Linked DNA regions of Macaca mulatta. The protein of the gene in region 1 interacts with the protein of each later gene in a pairwise test. Links are inferred from orthologs where the notes say so. Each region holds a gene or a part of one and is shown on either strand. Other genes may lie near its edges. The genes, in order: APTX and XRCC4.

Region 1 (6,765 bases):
AAGATCCCTCAGCTCTGAGTAGCAAAGCTAGGATTGGGACCCAGGTCTGAATCCAGAGCCTGTTCTTAACTAATACGCGTATGATTTTTTCTTTTTACTTTTTTTTTTTTTTTTTTTGAGATGGGGTCTCAGGCTGGGCGCGGTGGCTCAAGCCTGTAATCCCAGCACTTTGGGAGGCCGAGACGGGCGGATCACGAGGTCAGGAGATCGAGACCATCCTGGCTAACCCAGTGAAACCCCATCTCTACTAAAAAATACAAAAAACTAGCCGGGCGAGGTGGTGGGCGCCTGTAGTCCCAGCTACTCGGGAGGCTGAGGCAGGAGAATGGCGTGAACCTGGGAGGCGGAGCTTGCAGTGAGCTGAGATCCGGCCACTGCACTCCAGCCTGGGAGACAGAGTGAGACTCCGTCTCAAAAAAAAAAAAAAAAAAAAAAAAAAGAGATGGGGTCTCACTCAGTCGCCCAGGTTGGAGTGCAGTGGTGCGATCTCAGCTCACTGCAAGCTCTGCCTCCTGGGTTCACACCATTCTCCTGCCTCAGCCTCCCAAGTAGCTGGGACTACAGGCGTCTGCCACCACACCTGGCTAATTTTTTTTTTAGTAGAGACAGGGTTTCACTGTGTTAGCCGGGATGGTCTCGATCTCCTGACCTTGTGATCTGCCCGCCTCGGCCTCCCAAAGTGCTGGGATTACAGGCGTGAGCCACCATGCCCAACCAATTTTCAAAAGTTTCTGTGCCTGCTACCTGATGACTGCAAAGAAAAGGCCACATGCCCTCTGCAGCTGGGTTGGGGAAGAACCTCCAGGAGCCACAGTGTATGTAGACAACCACCTCAGGAGAGGAAACAGACAATCGAGCAGGCCCACAGGTCCAGCATCAAGCCAGATAGAAGAACTGTGGATGGATGGACTAATGACGTTAAGGATTACAATCCTGGAGTGCAGAAGGAGCAGAGAAAAGAGATGAAAGACATTGGGTAGTGAGAGATGGACAAAAAGGGCTAAAGGAACTGGCTGATCTCAGGGAAATCAATGAAATGCCACGGAAAGCTTTTGATCAGCACAGGTCCGAGGCCCCTGGGTTCTACGGCTTCTGCTGTTAGTCTTGCATTTATACTGTTCAACTGATCGGAAAAATAATGAGTTGATGCATCAGACTCAATACCAAATTTGGATGGTGCCCAGGACCCATTATAGAATATGAGATTCTCATCCATTAAAGGGGCATAACAATAGCACCTAACCTCATAGAGTTATGTACAGAGAGAATTCAATGACATCATTTGAGTAAAGTGTTTAGCATAATGCAGGACACATAGGAGTCAGACAAATGTAAGCGGCTATGATCATTAATTATATAATTCTTACTATACCCATGCTAAGTAACCACTGTGGCATCTTGTTTGTTTGCGAAAAGGTCAAATGTCTCTATGGACTGTGGCTTTTTCTCTCCAGAAGACGCTTTGGTTAAGGGTGTTTACTTTTTTCTCACAACTTGAGTGAAAAGTCCCACCCCCAAAGATATCCACAATTTGATCAAAAACAACTTTTTAGCTTTCCCTTCACCTTTAGTTTAATATTATCCCAAAAAACAACTGAATACAACTGTTTTATCCAAATTTGTTCTCAAGGAAAAATAAAGTAGTGGCTCTGTGCAACTTTTTCATTCACCAACCACCTTTTCATGCATTAGAGCCTATGCTGTAATTGTCAGCTGAACTTCAATAGTTTCCACCTACTTAAGAGAGATGCCTCAAACAAATTAACTTTATTTTCAGACAACAGGTCCAAAACGACTTCACAGCTGAATCATGACGAACATGTGGCTGTTTCCTCACAGCCAGGAACCCTTGATATTAGAAGAAAACTCCAACCCCCCACACCCTCATCTAGCCTCTTTGCTCACAGTGAAGAACTGATGAGACAGAATTCCTGAGAAGGGAACATTTAGGTAATCTAAGATAGAAGGGAATGGAAGGACTGGACAAAGTAAGCCTCCCCACGAAGGAAGGGAAAAGAATAATATTACATAACAGACTAACAGAAAACAAGGCCCATCAGTATCTTTAGGATAAACAAGAGGCCACTCTAGGTGCTCTGATTAAAGGGTGTCCATGCCTACAGAGGTGGAGGATAAATCTAAGAAACATAAATTTATAACCAGCCCACTGCTTTCATATTCTCCCTTAGGTCAGTGTGAACATAGCTTTGCTCCCAATGGTCAGACCTGACATGGGTCCTGAAGATGGTGAGTCAGGTATATCCCAGCCACCCTCACCAGAGAATATATCTATGACAAACCCCAATTCCTAATCCTGAACTACTTCGAGCGACTCTACATTGTGGCCACTCAATAACAGAATAAACTCTGTGAAAAAGCTGCATGTTTTCATTTAGGAAATGAGTAGAAGTTCACAAGCAACCCAGAATAGATGCCAGCAGTTTGCTCCAGTGGGCCACACCGCAGCAGCAGCTCAGGCCCTGCAGAATCACTGTGTCCAGTGCTTCCTGAGATGTTCTTTCAGCTGAGGAATGGAAGGCAGCAGCTGCTGGCACTCATGACAACGAAGGGGCAGCTTCAAGAGCTCAGGCATCCCATCTCGGACAGTCACTCTACCAGCCTCTTGTACCATCTCGATCACAGCTGCAGGCAAGGAAGAAAAGTCAAATCCCAGCTACTCTGGAAAACCCATATGAGATACCAAAAATAAAATAAAATAAAAAACATGACTCCAATCAGTATGCCAGGCCAGGTATTCTAAAGCTCGGTGAGTTTAGTTTAGACTTCCCTCAGGCAAAATGAGCTTAATCAGATTATAAATAGGAGCAATCGACCTTTGAAATAATACACTCCTTCAGGACACACTCTAGGCAATCCATATTACTTTGTCAAGAGCTCATCACAGTGCTTTACCTCTAGTTGGCCCTTGGTAAATGCCAGCTGCCATTGTGAACACCCCAGCAATGCTTAAGCTCTTACACATCAGGAAAGCATATCCTGGTGTGTAAGAAAGCATTACACACCAGGAAATGCTTTCTTCTACATATACACAGCCTTCCCCCTGCTATTTCACCACTCCTGACAGGAGGCAGCCCTGAAGCTCATACCCAACTGATGGCAGAAGAGACAAAGAATTGTCCACAGTTTTCTTATCCATGAACTCCACTAATCCTCACGGCAGCCTTTAAGTCCCCTGTTGTCACAATAAAACACTGACCCTGACATAATAGCTTTCTAGGTCCCCCAAGAAGACAACTCACAGCAAAGTGGCAATAATACTACAATCCAAATAATCCAGTTTCTTTTCACAGGGCTCGTTTTTTTTTTGTTTTTTTTTTTTTTTTGAGACGGAGTCTCGCTCTGTCGCCCAGGTAGGAGTGCAGTGGCCGGATCTCAGCTCACTGCAAGCTCCGCCTCCCGGGTTTACGCCATTCTCCTGCCTCAGCCTTCCGAGTAGCTGGGACTACAGGCGCCCGCCACCTCGCCCAGCTAGTTTTTTGTATTTTTTAGTAGAGACGTGTTAGCCAGGATGGTCTCGTGTTAGCCAGGATGGTCTCGATCTCCTGACCTCGTGATCCGCCCGTCTCGGCCTCCCAAAGTGCTGGGATTACAGGCTTGAGCCACCGCGCCCGGCACATGGCTCGCTTTGTAGGGAACACAAAGTTGTACATAGGTCTTTGAGGTCAGGTTGTTATTCAGGGAAACAACCAAATTAAATATAAGAACAGCTCAGAAAACAAAACAAATGTGAAAACCAAGCAACACTGTTTACCTTGTGATTCTAGGAAGTATTCTGTATTGAAAGAATTCCAATGTTTTTTGTTTTTAAGGCAAGGAGAATCAAAATCCTGGCTGATCACATGAAGATGTACATGGCTAGTTGAAAGAAAAAAAAACTGAGCATTAAACTCTTTAACAACTATGGCTTAATCAAAAGGACAAAGAGTATGAGTACATTGTATTCATACTCTTTGAATATTCATACTATTGAATTGATAGTATGTCCATTTAATTCAATTGATTCATTCATTTACTTAAGAATATTCAACGCTCAATAAGTAGGTACTATGGCCAATAACTAGGTACAGGCACTGAGACTTTAGCAAGAAACAAAATGGGAAAAGCCTCTGTCCTTATAGAAATTGTATGCTAATGAGGAAAGACAAATAATAAGCAAACAACAACAAAAACTTAAAGAATTAACATTGCCAAGAAAAAATAAGGAAAATGGGATAGAGTGCCCGGGAGTAGAAGCTGCCTCTTTAGTTAACAGTGTTCAGGGAAAGCATCTCCCAGGAAGTGATTTGAACTGAGACAGCAGCCAGGCAAGCAAGGTCTGTGGGAAGAGTGTCTCAGAAAGTGAGGAGGCCAAGAGCAGGGACCCTGAGATGAGGAAAAGCTCAGGGCAACTAAGAAACAGAAAAAAGGTAATATGGCCCAAATGTATGGCCTGAATTGTTGCAGCCAAGCAGCAGACACGAGGCAGAAGCCAGGTCATAAAGGCTCTTAAAGGCCAACAAGGGGTTTGCATTCTATTCTGAATCTACTGGGAAGCTCTTGAAGGATTTTCAGCCAAAGAGTGCTATTATCTGATTTATATATATATTTTTAACAACAAAAAATTTGAATGACAAATTTTAAAATGGACCACAATTTAAAAGTGGGCCTATTTTAATTTTATTATTCTTAAATTCATTCTTTTGAAAATGCGACCAGATGCGATGGCTCACGCCTGTAATCCCAGCACTTTGGGAGGCCAAGGCAGGTAGATCACTTGTGGTCAGGAGTTCAAGACCAGCCTGACCAACATGGTGAAACTAACTACTAAAAATACAAAAAACTAACTGGGCGTGGTGGCAGGCACCTGTAATCCCAGCTACTCAGGAGGCTGAGGCAGGAGAATCACTTGAACCTAGGAGGCGGAGGTTGCAGTGAGCTGAGATCGTGCCGCTGCACTCCAACCTGGGTGACAAAGTTACACTCCGTCTCAAAAAAAAAGAAAAAAGAAAATGCACTTTATTTTTGGAATGATAAAAGATTTCACTATGAACTGACAAAGTAGAGGTGGGCTGATACTGGTAGGTCAATTCTTCATGTAGATATTCAAATGTTGTTTTCTGTATTACATCAAAATGATTTGCAACAGGAAACTGGAAAAGGGGAGCAAAGCAGACTGCAAAGCATATACTGAGGTCTTTCCATAGGTATCTGATAGAATGCAGATTCAGCACAACAAAACGTAGACTTTGCAGCAGTGGCCGGTAAGTGTATTGCAAGTGTACCCTAAGAACCTATATAAAAACCATTTTTTTCTTATTCCTAACAGAAAAACAAATTTTGTTTTGTTTAAACAATAAAATGTAATGGAAAGATCTGTACTATATAACTACTTGCTATAACCATGAGAACACTGCATGTTCTCACTCATATGGGGGAACTGAACAATGAGATCACTTGGACACACGGTGGGGAACATCACATACCGGGGCCTGTCGGTGGGGTGGGGGGCTCGGGGAGGGATAGCATTAGGAGAAATACCTAATGTAAATGATGAGTTGATGGGTGCAGCAAACCAACATGGCACATGTATACCTATGTATTAAACCTGCATGTTGTGCACATGTACCCTAGAACTTAAGAGTATAATAATAAAAAATAAAAAATAACTTGTTATAGCCCATGTGTTCAGTTTGTTCAACAACCTTATTCACACATGATGAATTACATGAACAGAAAGTCACCAAATAAGGCTCAAGACAAAAAAATTATCTATCAACCTCCATATGAAAAGACCACAGCTTTAATGATTTATACAATCCTTAAGCTTAATACTTGGTCAGTATAGGTTTCCAAATCAAAATCAAGTCATAGGCTGTTTACAATAACTGCATTATACTAACATTTTATTTCCAGTATTTCTTCCCATGAGGGAAAAAAATCATCAGAAGCTTTCACTCTTGAAAAGTCTCCTAAACTAAAACAGTGTTCTTCTCCAAAATGAAAATACAAAGTCAAACAGTAAATAAACAAAGCTAAGCTAATTTCAACAGTCATATTTCCAAAAGTAAAATCTATTAAGTACAATACACCTGCACAAGAAATTACAAGAAATGATTACAGTTACAGATGCAAAATAATATCTAATTATCCCAGTCCTGTGAACATAATTAAAATCAAATTCATATGCTAGTTCAAATATTATGTACAATTTAGATAAGCTGGTCAAGTATTATTTGAATATACACCATATTTGTTAAATCTAAAATCATATTACCTTTTCTCTTCCTTTAATATTTGTAGATACATGCCAATATGAAAAAAAAAATGTAATTTCCATTTATGTATTAACAGAGAATTTCTACTGCATGTTTCAAACTGTTAAAAAAAAAAGTCAAGGTACATTTTCACTTAAGAAAGAGATAAAAATAAATTACCAGAATTTTAATTGATAAAAGTTTCATATCAATTTATAAAAATGACCCAAGCATGTGGCTTGTACCTATAATCCCAGCTACTCAGGAGGCTGAGACAGGTGGATCACTTGAGGTCAGGAGTTCAACATTGGCCTGGGCAACACAGTGAGACCCTCATCTCTAAAAAATTGTTTTAATTAGCCAGGCATGGTGGCGCACCCATAGCCCCAGCTACTCGGGAGGATGAGGCAAAAGGATACCTGGAGCCTAGGAGTTCAAGGCCGCAGTGAGCTATCATCTTGACACTGTACTCCAGACCGGGAGACAGAGTGAGACTTCCATCTCTTAAAAC
Region 2 (6,880 bases), on another chromosome or scaffold:
CCTGTCTCATCTCCAGTTCTCTCCTCCCATTCCCTTTGAAACTCCTATTCTCTCCTATCTCCTTCCTTCACCAACCAAGTGAATATGTTCTATTAAGATCCTTAATAACATTTGTATTGCTAAATCCATCAATCAGCAGGATACCACATTTATATTTTTGCCTCTTACCTCCTGGATGCTCCCTCTCAGTCTTACTTGCTCAGTCAAAACCCCTTCTTCAGCAAAACCTGCTGCCTCTAAGCATACCTAGAATCTGCTCCTTGCTCATCACCTCTCCATCACTCTGGTCTAAGCCAGTCTCATCTTTCACCCAACTGTTGTACTAGCTTCCCATCTGTTATATCTTCTTCTGCACTTGTCATCCTATAGTCTATTCTTAATACAACACACGGACTAATCCTGTTGAAATTTGAGTCAGATTATGTCACTTGACTGTTTAAAATCCTTCAGTAGTTTCCAAGTTAATTCAAAGTAACAAGAGAAGTTCTAATGGTAGCCTACCTCACCCTACACATGATGAGGTCCTATCATCTCTCTCATCTCATTTCCTAATTCTCCCAGTCTTCATCTTTCTACTTTATCCAGATTACACTCTGTACTATTGCTTAAACGCATCGGGAACTTTGTACTTACTGTTTTTTTGTTTTTGTTTTCTGTTTGGCATGCTCTTCCCCAAGATAGCCAAGTCACTTTCACCTTCTCACTGAGGCCTTTTCTGATAGCCTGGCTAAAATCACAACGCTCATCCTTATTCTCACCCTGACCTTTCTATCGGCCTTCTCTGGTTTATTTTTCTCTTTAGCACTTATCGACCTAACATATTTTACATTTGTTCATCTTATATATTTTCCTGATTACAATTTAAACTCCACAACGGCACAGATTTTTTTGTTTTGTTGTCTAATGCATAGCAAAGTTTCTGGTACATAATAGGACCTCAAAAATATTTTCTAAATAAATAAATCAAACATTTATTTTTATAGTATTGGCTTTAGGTCAAAATTAAGCATAAAATGAGTTCAGAGGCTCCTGTTTCCACTGCCACTAAGAAATCTATAAAATATTTAAAAAAAAAACTCATGGGTTTAAACGCTTGCTGGAAACTTGATCCAAAGGACTAAGTCATAGGTACTTCAAACTAAACTGCCATTTTTCCCCTTCTCTTTTCCTCTACCACATCTCACTTGTTGTAATCCTTTTTTCTGAAGAGTGAAAGAAGGCCTCAGCTTTCGTATAATTTAGAGCATTCTTGATTACTTTGTTCCAGTGGCCTATCGATGGCTTTAGCTAAATAAAATCTCGAATCTTAAAGGCAACCAGCTTTAAGCTGAAGATATTTAGCATAAAGGTGTATCTTCCTCATTGCTTATGCTTTTCCTGGTTATATTTAACCAGGAATAGTATACCTTGGAGTATATGTGTATTAATGCTGGCTCACATTGCTGTGCTAACGAGTTGCTGCATTTTACAAATAATATTAAGTTTTAACATTAAAAATTTGAGTCTTTAAAATAAAAATGCTAAAGAATTTTCATAGAATAAGGTTTTTCACAACATTTTTCCATTATGGTTTCTTGTCATTAGAGTAAGAAGCCCAAGTGAGATATTCAACAAAGGAGATAAATTTATATCTCTCTTACCTGAAGCCGACCCAGAGGGATCAGGTTGGTTTTCATTTTCCTCATCAGTACTCTCATCATAGACTGGATCTCGGTCAGCAGTCATTTCAGAACAGATTGTAGTTTCCCTAGAAACAGAGACAGGTAGAATTATAAATCATTGGCTCACCCCCTGCTAGGCAGCAAATTTACCAGTAAGTAATTATAGAAAATATTTCTGGAAAAAGATTCTAATTAGACAAACATATTGAAAATTTATATGACTTAGATGAAAGCATCTTAAAACCTATATATTAACTCTCTTAAGAACAAGTTTCTCTTTTACCCAATTTTAATCTGAATTTAGTACTCATTATAATTAATATTAAATCAGTTTCTTATCAGGTACTATTCTTCTATCAAAATACTTTTTTCTACCAAATTATCTCTGTGAGTCACAGAGTATTTAACATTTTACTAATCTCAGAGCAGTTCCTTATTTCATTTGATCTCTGCAAAGCCCTAAGATGGGTATCTTTACCTTTATTATGAAAAAAAAGTGATGTGTCCAAAGCTATAAACTAATAGGTATGACTGCAAGACCAGTACCTGAACTAGGACTAGCTGATATCAAATTTTTTTATACTATGTCACTAGTAATTCTGCACTTTTACTAAGATTCAAAGCAATAGACCCTAACGTGTATTTGCTAATGTGTAAAAAAGTTATAATCGTTGAAACCCATATCAGCCATTTGTCACTTACGATTCTTCCATAAAAATCAAGTACATATCTACTCTCAGAGAAAACGTTAAAGAAGAATAAGATTGGTAATCACACTGTAATCAGGTAAAATAAATGCTCCCTGGAATTTAATATTAACAACTTGATTCAAAAGTTAACTATTGCCTAGACATCAAGATTACAAATATGCATCCAACTTTGTAGTTCTGCAGATGAAAGGGTTTTTAAATTAATATTTCTTACTAATGTCTAAGAATTAAATAATACTTTAATAAGCCTCATGTCAATTTTTAAATTTAAGTGTAGGTGAGACAGTTGAGCAGACATGGAGCGAGCATGCTGAGAACTCTCTAGCCCATGGCACCCGTCTAACAGCCTGAGCATCCACATCCAGTCTACCAAATTATCTCATATGACCAAAAAGTTGGCACCTAATGTTCATTAACTTTGGGAAGAAATTCCACTTAAATTTATACATCTGTCATCCAAAAACTAGATAGCCAAAATACCCTTCTTGTTTGATGTTCTTTTCTTGTTCTTGAGCTGTATTTAATAATTTATTATGCAAACTTCTGATTTTTGTTTTCTTCTCATTCAACACCAGAATAAACCGCTTATAAAGATCAGTCTCCAAAGCTTCCTTAGCGTTCACACATTTTTCAAATCTGAAAAAGTAAGTAAACAAATTAGTCATGCAGTTCTGCTTACCATTAACATAATTCAATCTAATAATCAAGAAGATTTCAATAAAATTTTTCAAAGAAAATACAATTAAAGATTATTTTCACATATGCTTTCACTGACTTAAAAGTTTTATAAAGATGGTTAAATACACAATTAGAAATTATTGGTTATTCATGTAATTCATGTACTGAGATAAGGATCAAAATTGAAAATTGATACAAATAAGCCTTTAGAAAATCAAAATGCCTAAAGATAATAATTTATTGACATCTATGGTTTATTTACAAAAGAATGTTTTTATGGGATAAATTTCAAACAAGAGTAAATGTAGCCTGTGTTTCCTCAGTACTATGTTAATATTACTATAAAAGCAACTACAATCTTGTTTTGTGATAAGGCAATACAGCTAATTTGTCTTGACTGCTCTACTAGACAATGAACTGCTCTACAACAAGAACACGACTTATCCAGTTATATTCTTATAAGCGAGCACCACACACACACACACATACAAATACATATAGAAACACAATACACATACAATGAAAGTATTCTACTTGATATATCCAAGGAGAGATTAATAAAACAGCAAATGTAAAACATTACGTATCTTCAAATTTAGATACCTGAGACAAAACATAAAATTCTCTATTGTTTATAATTCGTCCTACACTGCTCAATGAGCTAACAGGGTTTGTATTTATTTTAAGCTCCCAAGAGAGATATAAAGTAAAGAAAGCAAAATAGCTGAGGTTGTATATACTTAAAATGTGCACACGCATACATGATGAATACATTCTTATTTTAGAGATTCAAATACAAATTATTTTATGTATTCTTTTCAATGTCGTTTTATACTGCTTATTTACATTGTTGTTGTTCGATATACAAGTATCCTAGTATTTTTATGCTGTACATAAACACACACACACACATATACCAGTAGTAACATATATGTGTGTACATATACAGACACACACATATATATTTCAGTGAAATTAGAAACACAAATGTCCAAATTAGATACCTTTTATATACACACCCTTAAACTTTCAACAATCTACCTATCTAGAGATGCAAAGAATTCAAACCTCTCATAGGATAAAAAGGAAAATATGGCAATATATTCTCTGGGACCAATTTCAGCAAATTCTTATAGCATAGTCTTTGCCAAGGATGTGAACTCCAGGAAAGCAGAGAGCATGTGTGTTTTACTGGCCATGGTATCCTCAGTGCCCAGCATAGTGTTTAGCATTCTACAGAGGTTTGGTAGGTTCTTATCAGACAAACGAATAAAGTGAGTAAATTAATATGGACATCTTTTTGGTTTATTTGTTTTCCCAGGTTTACTGCTGATTTATTACAAGGCCTCAACAGTGCTTTATTTTTTCTTTTCAACATCCTGTTCTGCAGCTTCCTTGGTCCTTTTTGCCCAGAGGCCAAAGAGCCAGGCATTGATATGGCAGGTTTTTGTTTTGTTTTGTGTTTAGTTTTGAGACAGAGTTTCACTCTCGTTGCCCAGGCTGGAGTGCAGTGGCACGATCTCGGCTCACTGCAACCTCCGCCTTCTGGTTTTAAGCAATTCGCCTGCCTCAGCCTCCTGAGTAGCTGGGATGACAGGCGCCCGCCACCATGCCCGGCAAATTTTTGTATTTTTAGTAGAGACAGGGTTTCACCATGTTGGTCAGACTGGTCTCGAACTCCTGAACTCGTGATCCGCCCACCTCAGCCTCCCAAAGTTCTGGGATTACAGGCATGAGCCACTGCACCCAGTTTGATGTGGCAGTCTTGAAGTTCTCTTCCTCTTGGTGATGACTCTGGCTTTCTCCTTCTTATAGGTATTCCATATGAACATTACTGGTCCTGTCAGTGTGATGGCCAATTTGAGTTCTTCAGTGTAGCCGTCTCCCTTCTTGGAGGCTGAGGTTCCTAGAGAAGGAGGATAAGCTTCCAGCAGTACTCCTAAAGCTGTTATACATTGGCCTGCAAGGACTCAATGGACTTGTTTCACCTTCTTGGATCAATAGAGAAATCAATGGTCCAGGCCATCTTCTTGTGGATGCTGGCCACCCTTAATTCTTCCAAGCTGAAGCCCCTGCCAGCTTGTACTTGGTGTGAAACCTCATGTGGGACATTTTACTAGGGGCCAATGGGTCCAGATACAAGGCACCGGGCAATGCAGTGGGCTTTGACTTCTCTGGTCTCATGTCTGTGGCTCTTCCTTGCAGGCTGGGTGAACCATGTCGCTATGGGCCACTGCCAGTTCTTATAAAAGTGGAGCTTCAGGATTATGCCATTCCTGCTGGGCACCATGTCTGACTATAGCCCTCCAGCAAAGGAGAAGAGCCAAGGAGAATGGCTAATATTGACATCTTATAAGGAAACAGAAAAACAGTGATTCTGAATATTGCATTTTTTTCACTGATTTAATAGCTATTCACCATTGTATAAGTAATATTTTTCATCTTCAGCTTTTTAAAAAACTGCGTCAAATAATATCAATCTAGCAGTATTCCCTTCATTCAGCAAAGTTCTCTGAGACAGAAGTATATGAAAAGATGTTAGAAAAAAATTGAATATTGAAAAGGAGCTAGCAATATTGATAGTTTATTTTAAGCAAAGATATGTCACTACATTTATATTTCAGATTCAGTGTTATGTAAGCATGATATTCTCATCTTCCTATAATATTTTCAAAAAAAAAATAAAAAACTTTAAAACATATATATTACTGAAATACCTGAGTATATAATAACATACTTCAAACATATACAAAGTAAAAACCAACATGTGAAAACATAAACAAATCTATTACAATTTCTTATATTAAATTTTAGGAATGGTAGCCAATTAGTAATTTATCTGGTTTAAGTCCATATTTAATTTCCATATAAGTCACTTCGATAATTCTTTATTGAAAGATTGTGTACGTTATTAACAATTAACAAGCTAATTCCCAAACCTTTATTAAAATTAACATTTGGTGTGACACATTCAAAGTGAAAATAAATATAAAAATGAAATATCATATAATATTCCTAAAGAATATTGTTCATCTTAAGTAACCAGTATCAGAACTATGCTGTCAAAGGAAACATTTCTGTGACAGGGAAACAAAGTAAATAGAATGAATGTTATCATATGAGTTAACCTTGCTTGGTTTCAGCAAAGTTTTAGGATTTTTTTGCAACCAAACTTCTGATGATCAAACTGGACAACACTTCCTAGAAAAGTGGGGGAGTAGGAGCTAACTGGAGAAAAAGTACTTGTGTGAACAGTTGCATGACATGAATTTACTCTTAATTCTTAATTTTTCAAGACTCAGAGAATGCTATCCTTTTATCCATTAATCAGTAACTAAGAGGTACGTAGTATCATTCCCATCTAATTTTTAATGCCAATCCTCTCCTAGAGCATTATGATGTTACTATGCCTTCCATTACATGCTTCCTGTCAAGCTTATCCCTCAAGAATTAGACAGGAATTATTAGGTGAGAACATTTAGTGGAGAAGAGACATGGGATTCACTGCTAAGTCTGGTGACACTAACAAAAAGCCCATGCACAACTAGATCAGACCACACTAGTTCAAGGATCACATCCAGGCAAATCTCAAATTGGAACAAAATCATAAATAACACCAAACAAGAAAGGTCTAATGATAATTCATCCTTTCTACAATAACTAGGAAAATAGAACAATAATGCTAAATTTAATTAGTAACCTAGCACTGAGGTATCTAAAACCTCGGACAGAAAAAAAAAATAGTAATTTTTTAAAAAAATTAAAAGGACAAAAAAATTACACAAAAATACTGAATATTCAAAATAAAATATCTCTGGGTAGGAAAACAAT

What was found.
Region 2: the proteins of APTX (region 1) and XRCC4 interact in binary tests that used the Homo sapiens proteins (3 or more experiments, as listed by UniProt). The link is inferred for Macaca mulatta from reciprocal best matches to the Homo sapiens genes APTX and XRCC4.

What each region holds. Positions count from the first base shown.
Region 1 is NC_133420.1:66,397,927-66,404,691, reverse strand, and holds the end of APTX (aprataxin), read right to left. Parts: intron 3,877-6,765; coding exon 3,773-3,876; intron 2,680-3,772; coding exon of another isoform or gene 2,675-2,679; exon of another isoform or gene 2,644-2,674; coding exon 2,489-2,643; 3' UTR 1,636-2,488; downstream 1-1,635. UniProt on the Homo sapiens protein: DNA-binding protein involved in single-strand DNA break repair, double-strand DNA break repair and base excision repair.
Region 2 is NC_133411.1:89,503,661-89,510,540, reverse strand, and holds part of XRCC4 (DNA repair protein XRCC4), read right to left. Parts: intron 3,008-6,880; coding exon 2,852-3,007; intron 1,748-2,851; coding exon 1,641-1,747; intron 1-1,640.